Schizosaccharomyces pombe: one gene and its partner. The protein of the gene in region 1 interacts with the protein of each later gene in a biochemical or structural test. Each region holds a gene or a part of one and is shown on either strand. Other genes may lie near its edges. The genes, in order: rga2 and rho2.

Region 1 (6,475 bases):
AATTTAGAGTCTCCTCCCTTTTTGTCCTTTTTAGCTGATAGATAACGCGACAAAGATCCATAAAAGCTTTTGCTTTGTTCATCAAATTCAAGTCGTCTATCATCAATTGGCTTAATGAAGCTTGAGTAAATGTTATGAAATGGCTCATATAAAAGATTAATTAAATCATAATTAAGTTTTTGTATAAAGGTGGCATGAATGTCCATAGCCTTGGTTAAATAACTGTCCAGAAGTATGTCCATATTCATACTGGTGCTATTAGAAGCTTCCGAAAGTGTCTCTGACAATTTCATAACAGCAACTTGCGATGCATCGTATGCATCACTTAATTGGACAATACGTTTCATTATTTTTTTGCAATAATACTTCATAAGAGATGATTTTTGCTCAAGCTCATGCAACATAGATCGGAATGACGGTCCATCCTCATAATTCTCTGGGAATATAACGGTCTTGGTATTAATCAATGAAAGCTCCGTCTTCGCTTCCGGAGATTGAGGAGGTTGGGTTTGTACCGTCTGGCTAGTAGTTAGCGGCGACGTGACACGCTGGCTTTCCGAAAAAAATGTATCATCCATAGAATCACCGCAACGAGATACGGTGTAGTAGCTAAATTTTGAGATACGTTCAAGAGTACAGTCTTCAGTAGAGTAAACGGCTATGCAAGAATAGTTTTTGCATTCATACTCCAGAAGTTTACCCGAAGGAGGTGACCACTCCCAATGATATCTGATATTGGCCGCATTTGAATCTGGTAAAAAAATTTCATGTACATTATCCGAAGAAATTAAGTCTGCATATTTCAACTTCTGAGCAAAAAAAGAATCAAACGATTGAAGCGATTCGCAATGGATGAGTACAAGTACTTTCCTCTCCTTCTGCAACTGGAGAACACGATCACTGAATAAAAAGTAGAAGTCTAGCTTGTTTTGAAAACTAAACTTAGGGAGGCACTCTTTTGATGTAGAATCCTAATTTTTACAAAGTTAGTAAAATCGTATATGGAAATAAGAACATCTTCGAGCAACACGAATGCACAATGGGCTTGCTCCAGTTGCTCCTTTTGGATAAAATCATAGACTATATCTGTTTGTCTTGTAGTTATTGTCATTCATTAGTCTGTGTTATCCAGTTCAAAAGAATGGACTTATAAATAGATGTAAGAGTGATAACTATTTTTTGACAAAAGAATCGACACTATTAAATGTGTCTATTTTAATATTTTACTCAATGTTCAGATACTCTTAGCTTTTATATCATACCAAAACCATGTCCACCAATTTTCCTGATGAGCTAGATATTGACTCTAGAAACCCATCTTCTCGGGCGCGGAATGAAATGGTAGAGCCATTGTCTAATTTGGAAACATCAACAGATTTCAATAAAGCTAAACGTTAGTAACGAAAGTAAAAATATTAAACATACAGTCACTTCCGTCCATTGCCGGGTCAAAGGGCTATTAGTATAAATTCGGTATGAGAACCGGCAGCAAAGCTTGAAGGAGTCTCAATCAAAAATTTGAGGGTTCTCAATACGAAGCTGCTTGTTCTCTTCGTCAAATGGTAAAGATGGATGTTGTGCGGACGACAGGTTTTTTCTTGCGGTCAGAGCCCACAACTTGCCGTATCACCACTTTCGCATATTCTGCCGAAATCATTTATTTTCATGCAGAAACTACGTTTCTATTTGAAAAAATAATGAAAGAAGGAAATGAATTGGAGAAGTATTCAAAAATTGAGCTGAATTCAGAGATTTGGGAAGATGAAGAAGAAGAGGATAATTCTGGGATTGTATCTCAAAATGAGAGATTAATGAAGCTAGTGAATAAGCAAAGAGAAATTATATACGAGCTGCATAAGGACTTGGAAAAAGTAAAAAAGGATAATACTTCATTACGCATGCGACTGAGTAAATATGAGTCTACAGACTCATTTCCTTCTAGTCAACCGTCCAGAGCTAATTCTCCTCAATCGGACTCTTATAGCTCTCCATATGAGAAGGGGAAATTATTTCCCAAGATTTCTTTGAAAAGTTCCAAAGACGTACCTACTGCTTCTGCTCACATTAGCTCTTCAGACCATGAAAAATCTAGTTCTGTTTCGTTATCTGCTTTAAATAATTATAATAAAACTACCGATATCAAGGCCAGGTCGTTAGACAGATTGTCGGATATGACCAGACCAAAACTTTTATTGAATACGAAACGCTCGCACCGTTCATCTGAAGAACCAGGTGCATCTTCACCAGTGACATCTCCAATATTAAAAGACAGCCAAAAGGAACGGATACAGGCCCTCCGAAATAAAGCAATCAAGACTTATTCGGTATCAACTGAGTCAGCTGAACGAATTGATTCTATCCGTTCTGACAATTTATCACCTTTGTCATTAAATACATCTTCTTTTCGTAGGCCAATTACAAAGCCAACTCCATTTAACTCGGACAGTAATATTTCTATTGATCCTAAAGATAACAATTCAAACAAACAAGACCATTTTGCTGAAATTGAGGACGAACTTCGTCAACAATTCTTGGACATAAAAGTTGGAAGAGCTAATGCATCATCGCCTAGGAGAAAAAGTATATCTATTGTAAAACCGCATGGTATATCTTCCCCAAAGCATTCTACTAATAATTTAAGCTCGAAGTCAGGTAAATTCCATTCTGATTTTCGAGTTGTTTCCGAAAATGTTCTTTTACAAGCTCGAAGTGAAACGAATTCTCCCATTATTGAAAATAAGGAAGCAAATAATTTCTTGGCTCCAACCTCAAATGTTCCAGCATATTCAACCCCTGCGCGTCCTACTGAGAGTCCTCCACCTCCGCCAATTTCTTCGTCTTCTACCACACCTAGGCCTGATGACAAACCTAGCCTACCTCCTCGTGGACTTTCAGAAGATAACGATTCTTTGTCTCTTCAAAAGACTGGCTCATCCGATACAAGAAGGTCCTCATTTTCTACCTTGAAAATACCTGATAGTGACATATGTTTTACACGTCGCCGGTCGGATTCCAACAGAACTTGGACGGTCATCGATCCTCATCATTCACAATCTTTTGATAATGACATTCTAGCAGAAATACCAACATCGAAACTTGATAATTCTAGCCAAAAATCTCCAGGAAAATTGTCTTCTAAAGGGTTACTCAACAGCTTCTCACCGATTTCGCCATTTAGCAAGTCGAAATCTCATAACCATCATCCATCAAGTCAAGTTGAAAAATCCACGTCGAATTCCAAAGGTTCTATGTTACCTTTGGATACTTTGTACAACAATAAGTTGAGCTTTAGGTTGGATGAATCATTAGTCCGTTATCTTCGTTTCGAGCTTATGAAAACCAGTTTGGCTTCTTTATCTCCAGATTTTGATTGCATAGGGTTGCAATTCGTGGTCGGTGTCTCTGCGAGTTCACATTTAGCTTCACAATGGAAAGATGAAGTATGGAGTTTCACAAGGAGCATCGGAGAATGTCGTTCCTTTGCTACTTCTTTCGTCTTAGACATCGGCGCACCTCCTTTCCCTACTCTTGATTGGTTTACAAATGACTCTTCAGTAATTCAAAACGAATTGTTACGCCGTTCTGTCGATACCTATTTTCGTTATATATTTCAAACTGATCTTAAGTTGGAACAGAGGATCAAGTTACTAGAATTTTTGTCAAGTGACACTTTACGAGAATACCTTCATGATGTATTCTTTCTTCCTCCTGAGCATGCTCAAAAGGAGGGGGTACTTTTGAAATACATTGAAAACAGTGGTTTAGTTTCACGTTATTTTTATTTAAAGGACAATATTTTATATTTCGCTGAAAATCGAAATTCTCCAGTACTTGGTACAATCCATTTAAAAGATGCGCAGGTGAATCGCTATAATGCCAATTTACCTATATTTTCTATCATTGATCCTCCTCATGAATTTTTAACTGGTGAAAATTATCAATCCGCTTTTGTAATTCAGGAAAAACAAACGGAAACGCGAACGGGAACTGCAACTGTTCACGTTCTTTTAGCAAGAGATGTTGAAGATCAGAAGAGTTGGCTGCGAGCCATACTTCGACAGGTTCCTGGCTCTACTTCTCCTCTCAATGCTAGTCCCTTCTCTGTATTATCTTCTGATTTTCCTGGATCTTCTCGTTATCGTGATCAATCTTCTCCTATCCGTTTTTATGGAAAAGCAGACTCAAGACCTGTAAGTCAAGAAGCAATTTTAAGTCAGGATATATCCAGCTCTCCATCTCCCGTTTTACCACCGTCAGAAAATGTTGCTTCTTATGCCGATGATTCTTTGGTTTCAAATTTAACCATGAGTCCTAAATTAAGGGATTCAATGGAGCAGGTGCCTTTAGAAAATCATAGAGAGTTTGAGATTAGTGATCGTGTTTCTGAGTTGTCATTCGACAGTAGTACGGGAAGTGTTTTAGAGATTGCTGACACTAGACGAAACCAAGATGCTCCTGAAAAGCACGTCCCCGTGATAGAAATCCAGTCTTCTAGACCTTCGCTGGAGAAGACTGACCAATCTACTCCTGTAGAGTTATTGATCGATTCTCATTCTCAGAATTCGCAAAATGAAGAAAAGAGATCGAGAATGAAATTTTGGGCGTTTCCGCATCATAAGGCCGAAAATTACGAACAAATATCTGATACGAATATACCTGTGATCGAAACAAATGTAATGCTTTCACCAAGTTCGACAACAAGTGCTGAGCCATTACAGAAACATATTGTCCGTAAGTCTGGAATATTCGGTCTTCCTCTTAATGAAGCGGTGAATATTTCTACTCAATTCAATGACAGCGGTTTGCCAATTGTTGTCTACAGATGCATTGAATACTTGGAATCATGCCGAGCCGAGAAAGAGGAAGGTATTTATCGGTTAAGTGGTTCTGCCTCGACAATTAAACATCTTAAGGAACAATTTAATGAAGGAGTAGATTACGACTTGCTTTCGTCAGACGAGGAATTCGACGTGCATGTAATTGCTGGACTTTTAAAGTTGTATTTGAGAAATTTACCTACCAACCTCTTAGACACTTCTATGCATAAATTATTCGAACTGTTACCTAATGTTCCTAACGATTCTGCGGCCCTTGGAGAACTTTGCGATGTTATTAGCAAACTCCCTCCTGAAAATTTTGCCCTTTTGGATTCCCTGTTACATCATTTGCGTAGGATTATTGCTTTTGAAAAAGTTAACAAAATGAACATTAGGAACGTTTGTATAGTGTTTTCTCCTACTTTAAATATCCCTTCGGATATATTTATGATGCTTATCCTTAACTATGATCATATCTTCACAGATATTTCACGACAAACGAACGGAGCACAAAACGAAAGCGACTCTGATGTTAGTGATGACAATGGGGAGGATAACGAATTTTTCTAGGAATTTAACGTCTACAAATTGTCAACGCTTGAGACGGTTAGTTTACTTAAACTTTCAATGGTTGTACGTGTTTTACTATCCCTTTGTCTTTCGTCTTCCTGTTCATTCCTTTATTGAATTATTTCTTGTTTTAATGCTTAGAGACACAGGGATTCTCCAAATATTCGTATGTACGGCAGTCGTCTTAGTACGATGTCGTTAATTTACTCTTTCTTTTAAAAGTTTTAATACTCTATAACTATTTTAGCCCTTCGTTTGTTCATTCTTTTCTAGTTCTTCTTATAACTAATTTTGGGCAGGTTTTTTATGATTGTATATTCAATTTATGTTGGAAGCTCGGGTTTTTTCTTTATAATCTTCTTTTATTTTTATTCTTCTTTGATTAGTATAATGAATTGTCGTTCTATTCTTGCTATTGAGCGGTGATAAATGAGCAATATTATATGTTATTTTAAGTAAAATTGCTAACATTAAATATCATAAACTAATCTAGTAAGGGTCATATAGACATAGCTAAGTAAAACGTATATATTCACTCTTAGCTGAATATCATTTTTTTAAAGGAATGCTTTCGTACAGTTTTGTTTGATATTCGAACTACCAAACAAAAAAGATAACACTGTTTTGTAGATGATACCAAACTGACGACAGCAGACCATTTATGGATAATTTATGCCTGTATCACCTAATCCATAACAGCATTGGTAAACAGAGTTCACGATAGTCGCATAAGCATTCTCGCTGAGACTCTCATAAAACCTCGGATTAGAAAATGAAAGTTGGAAAAACTAATTTATACAAATACACAAAAGCAAAGCGCCTACTATGATGTTATCGAATGAGAATAGTACCGATGAGGTTCAAGTCAACCGATTCGTAAAAGCAGACTATAAAGCTTTTTAAATAACCAAAAACGCACTAAAACAAAAATCAGATGTTGATCGTGCTATTAATGAACGAATAGTGGATGCTCTGTGGTGAAAGAAAACGAATCAAACGGAACCATCCTAAACAGGACGAAAACCCGGGGGAGGGGCACCACGTCCAAAACCAGCAGGTGGTGGAGGAGCAGTATATCCAACTCCTCG
Region 2 (4,334 bases), 1.1 Mb from region 1:
TATGAAGGTTCCAAATCCTATTCAGCTGCTCCTGAAGCATCAATGGAGTCATCTGCTCCCACTGAATCATATGACAAACCTGCTGCTTCGGAAGAACAACAGCCTTTGCAAAACCATTCTGATGTAGGTAACGGTAGCGCTGAAGGACAGGTCGCTGCTGAATGGTAAACATAGAAATTTTTCCTTTGGTAAACTATTTTTTAGTGTCTGCTTACTAGATTTTCCTGTCATATGTCTGTGGTCTTAATATCCTTTGTCTGTGATGTATTTGAGTATGAATTTATCTCTCTTTATTGGCGATTTCCTTTCTTACGATCAAGAATGAAAGGAATGTGTAATTTTTAGTGTAGTTCCGGATTTTTGCCGCGTATTTGTCATTCTTTATCATTTGGATGGATTTTGGTTGTTTTTTTTTGGTTGTTGTTCTTAATGAAGTGAACGCCCGAAGAAAAGTTAGTTGTTGGAGTATGGGTGTTTAAAGGGTATATAATTTCACATAGTTGTTTGATGAGAGTGACCACTTTAACTCTTGCCAGTCTTGATTTCCAACCCATTAATGCCCAGAAAAAAATAGGCTCGAAACTTTAGTAGGTGATAAATTTTGATATGGTTGTATACCTTTGGCGGTGTCTTAATATTTAGCTTAAATGAGCCAGAATTTTGAATTTGACCGCCCCATAAAATTACTTAGCGAAGTGAGCCTACGTATTAAATGTATCAATAAGGAAAACTGACATTTTCTATTAGCCTAAGAGAACAAAAGCATATGTACATATATGAATTTTGTACTTCATAATGAGCGCAAGCGGCAGTTCTAAAAATAAAGTCCTATGATCTTTTAAACAAAAAGTAGTTTTCATGAGGACAATAGATGCTGAAAAAGAATGAAAGATGTTTAAGAGTAAAAAAAAAAGGTAATAATAACTGAATGCGGTTTGCTTAATGAAATGAAAAAGGAGGCTAGTGTCGTTCGACCGATGCGTGAAGATTATAATGATGAAAATAATAATAATACTCCTGAGTCTCAAAATAAAATAGGAACTAAATTTGAGGTATAGGGGAGAAAAAGAAAAAAGTAAACGACAGAAGTGAAAGTGAAAACGAAATGAAACAACGGCAAAGAACAAATGCGAAGAAAAGCAAAAAAGTCTATCAGCTTTTTGTAAATGTAGGTCGCATAAACTGATAGGCTTTCCTATAAACTGAAACATGAATGTTTGCAATCGTTAGGATATTAGTAATTATGAAATGATGCAGCATTTTGTAGAACTCTTGTCATTTTCCGAATCCCGAACTGTTAGTGCTGCCCTAGTAGCAGCTTCAAATACATCGTCCACGCCGTCACCAGTCAATGAAGAACATTCCATATACTTTCTCGCACCAATCCGCTGAGCTACTAATTCAGCCTGATATCAAGAATTAGTATTCACGTGTTTGAATTATTAATATATACCTGTTGTGATTTTACAAAATTTTGATTTCGACGTCGCATTTCTTCAATAGCAACGGGATCTGACCTTAAGTCGGCTTTCATGCCCACTAAAATAAACGGAACATTTGGGCAAAGTGTATTAATTTCCTCAATCCACTATATAATGTTAATGACTGGAAAAAACAATTAATGAAACGAACCTTCGTAGAAACATTTTCAAGTGAATCAGGAGAGTCTATCGCAAACCCAACCAAAATAATGTGTGCTTTAGCGTAAGACATTGGTCTTAATCTCTGCATTGGGTTAACGACGTATTTCTCACTATTAATAACGAAACAAACCTCATATTCCTCTTGACCTCTAAAACAAGAATTAGTATGCAGGAATACATAACATATAGTTTTAACATCAGAAAAAAAAGTACTTACGCGGTATCCCACAATGCCAGTTGAACTGATTTTCCATCAACCTATTTTAGTTAGTATCAAATGTATTAGCAAAACCCAAAGAAAAGGGACCAGTGGGAAAGTAACTTTCTGTAACCAACTGAAAAAGCTCAATAACTTGTTAATCACACATACTCGACAATCTGAAACATAGTTTTCAAACACAGTCGGAACCTATAGTAACTGTTATTAAAAAACTCTACGAAATAAAGAGAAAAAAGCATTACATATTCCTATCGCCAGTAAGTTAGTAAATAAATAAATAAATAAGGTAGAAAAGACAATAAGTATTTGCGTATCGTGCAATATGCGATAAGCCAAAGCTCACTTTTATGACATCTGTACTTACAGTAGGAAAATATCCCAAAGTGAAAACGGATAACAAAGACGTCTTCCCGCAGGCACCATCGCCTACAACTACTAGTTTCCTTAAAAATATTAATATTTAAAGAAAATGAATTTGAGTAGAAGAAATAAAAGAAGCAAAAAGATATTAGGCCATAGAATCGTACCTTCTAATCGGTTGAGATTGCAACATGTACTTTTTAATAGGGAGCGGATTAAACACTGTATGAGGTTTTTTCTATGCAAATTTTTCTTAAAGAATGATTCACTGCAGATCAGACAACCAAAATTTCCCGGTTCGAAAAGCTGTAAAAATTAAACCAAATAGGTGTGAATTTTTGAAATATAAGAAATGAGTAAGCGATTGTCGAAATAGTCAAATGAAGCGATTAGCCAAACGTCCAAGCCTTTCAATTAGAGCAACGAAAAGTAGTATATGCACAAAAATTAGCTTCTCAAAGAGTATTTGTTCAAGAAATGTGGTTTTGGTGACATTTATCCCATGCGGATTATAGACACTTTTGGTGTTAAGTATCGTAAATTCAATTTATTGGAATCGTACGCTTCCTTATTGCACCTTAACATGCCTTAAAGAACTAATTTTGCACGTTAAGATGCATTAAATATGATAAAACGCCATTTGCCGTTTGGCTTTATTCACCACATTCTGCAAAGCAGCAATTGAACTAGTTAAATCCAAAAATCTTTGTGATTTGGATCATCTGGGTTGAAATCCCTAAGAAGATATACTATTTCAAGTACTTTGGGGTATACTGTTTTTGAATATTGAACTAAGAAAAGGTGGGCAGTTCGGCATTTAAGAATTTTAGGGATTACCCTTAAAACATTGCCAACGCAGACCCGTGAGCTACAATTTGAATAAAAAAAATAATTTAAATTATTTTTTTTTTAAATCGTTAGTTTCATATTTTAAGCTCATAAAAAAAGAGGCGTTGTTGGTAGGCGATTTTTAAAAAGAAAACATGAATGATAAAGCTCTTCGCACCGAAGCACTCAGTGTAGGGTTAGAACCTCCAAGTTTCAAGGATCTTCTTATACCTATTCCCAACTCTGGTACAAAGAAAAAGAATAAAAAGAAGAAAAAACCGAAAGCCAAGAAAAATGTCGAGACTCAAGCAAACGTGGATTTGCTTGGGTCGGCAGGGACCGATTCTGCAGTTACAGACGTTGGCGCGAATAATGGTGTCATAGATCATCAAGCGTCTTTGGAACTTTCAAATTTGAATTCTCGTATTTCTCATCCGCAGCTGGTCTCGGCAAATGGTGATGATTCATCGTTGATTAACGTCGAAGGAATATCTTCGACGGATTGGCAATTCACTCTTGAATCTGACGATACCATAGAACATTCTCCCCAATGTATTCTTTCTACCTCCAGTTTCGTGGATGAAGCCGAGTTTCCAGTTCATATACCTGGTTTGGAAGACGCGACGTCGTCCAATATGTCACCGAACTCCGTTCAAAATAATATGAATTTGAATACAGTAGCGTTAGGTTCGTCAACTTCATCTAAACGGAAAAAGAAAAAGAAGAAGAAGTCAAAAGCAAATAGTGCATCGTTGAATGTGGATGATCAAAGAGATTTTGAACAAGTTTATTCTACGGACGTTGCTATTACTTATAGGAATGGGCAAGCGCTTTCTTATTACAACGGTTCTGTGCGTCAAGCCAGTATGAATAATAACGTTAACAATAATAAATCCAAAGATATTTGGAGCAGTTCGAATACTGAGGAGCGGGAGCAAATTCGGGAATTTTGGCTTTCCTTAAGTGAAAGTGAACGCAGGTCGTTAGTTAAAGTCGAAAAAGAAGCTGTTTTGCAAAAAATGAAAGAGCAACAAAAATACTCATGCTCTTGTTCGGTGTGTGGAAGGAAACGTTTAGCAATTGAGGAAGAGTTGGAAGTACTGTATGATGCTTACTATGAAGAATTAGAACAATATGCTAATATTCAACGTAACCTTGCAAATACCGAGTCTGTAAACGCTTCAGACGAAGGTTCAGACAAGTCCCAGAAAGGAATCATCTCCGATTCACCTAAGCTTTTATCGATTCCTCTGAACAACGTACCATCAAAATCTCTCAATGAT

Evidence for each region.
Region 2: of the proteins of rga2 (region 1) and rho2, one has a biochemical effect on the other in vitro, tested with the Schizosaccharomyces pombe proteins (one study listed by BioGRID).

What each region holds. Positions count from the first base shown.
Region 1 is NC_003424.3:3,347,481-3,353,955, reverse strand, and holds rga2 (putative Rho-type GTPase-activating protein Rga2), read left to right. Parts: upstream 1-1,697; coding exon 1,698-5,387; 3' UTR 5,388-5,853; downstream 5,854-6,475. Other genes in the region: cnt6 (centaurin ADOP ribosylation factor GTPase-activating protein), read right to left, coding at 1-971, 1,263-1,387, 1,426-1,441; Sm snRNP core protein Smb1, read right to left, coding at 6,395-6,475. UniProt on the Schizosaccharomyces pombe protein: GTPase-activating protein for Rho-type proteins.
Region 2 is NC_003424.3:4,421,084-4,425,417, reverse strand, and holds rho2 (Rho family GTPase Rho2), read right to left. Parts: upstream 2,728-4,334; 5' UTR 2,417-2,727; coding exon 2,391-2,416; intron 2,307-2,390; coding exon 2,228-2,306; intron 2,112-2,227; coding exon 2,106-2,111; intron 2,053-2,105; coding exon 2,014-2,052; intron 1,902-2,013; coding exon 1,861-1,901; intron 1,793-1,860; coding exon 1,774-1,792; exon of another isoform or gene 1,726-1,773; coding exon 1,633-1,725; exon of another isoform or gene 1,589-1,632; coding exon 1,454-1,588; exon of another isoform or gene 1,407-1,453; coding exon 1,242-1,406; 3' UTR 772-1,241; downstream 1-771. Other genes in the region: srp2 (guard protein for 5'-capping of pre-mRNAs Srp2/Npl3), read left to right, coding at 1-168; protein nst1, read left to right, coding at 3,207-4,334. UniProt on the Schizosaccharomyces pombe protein: Involved in cell morphogenesis, the maintenance of growth direction, control of polarity and of cell wall integrity. Regulates the synthesis of alpha-D-glucan through activation of pck2.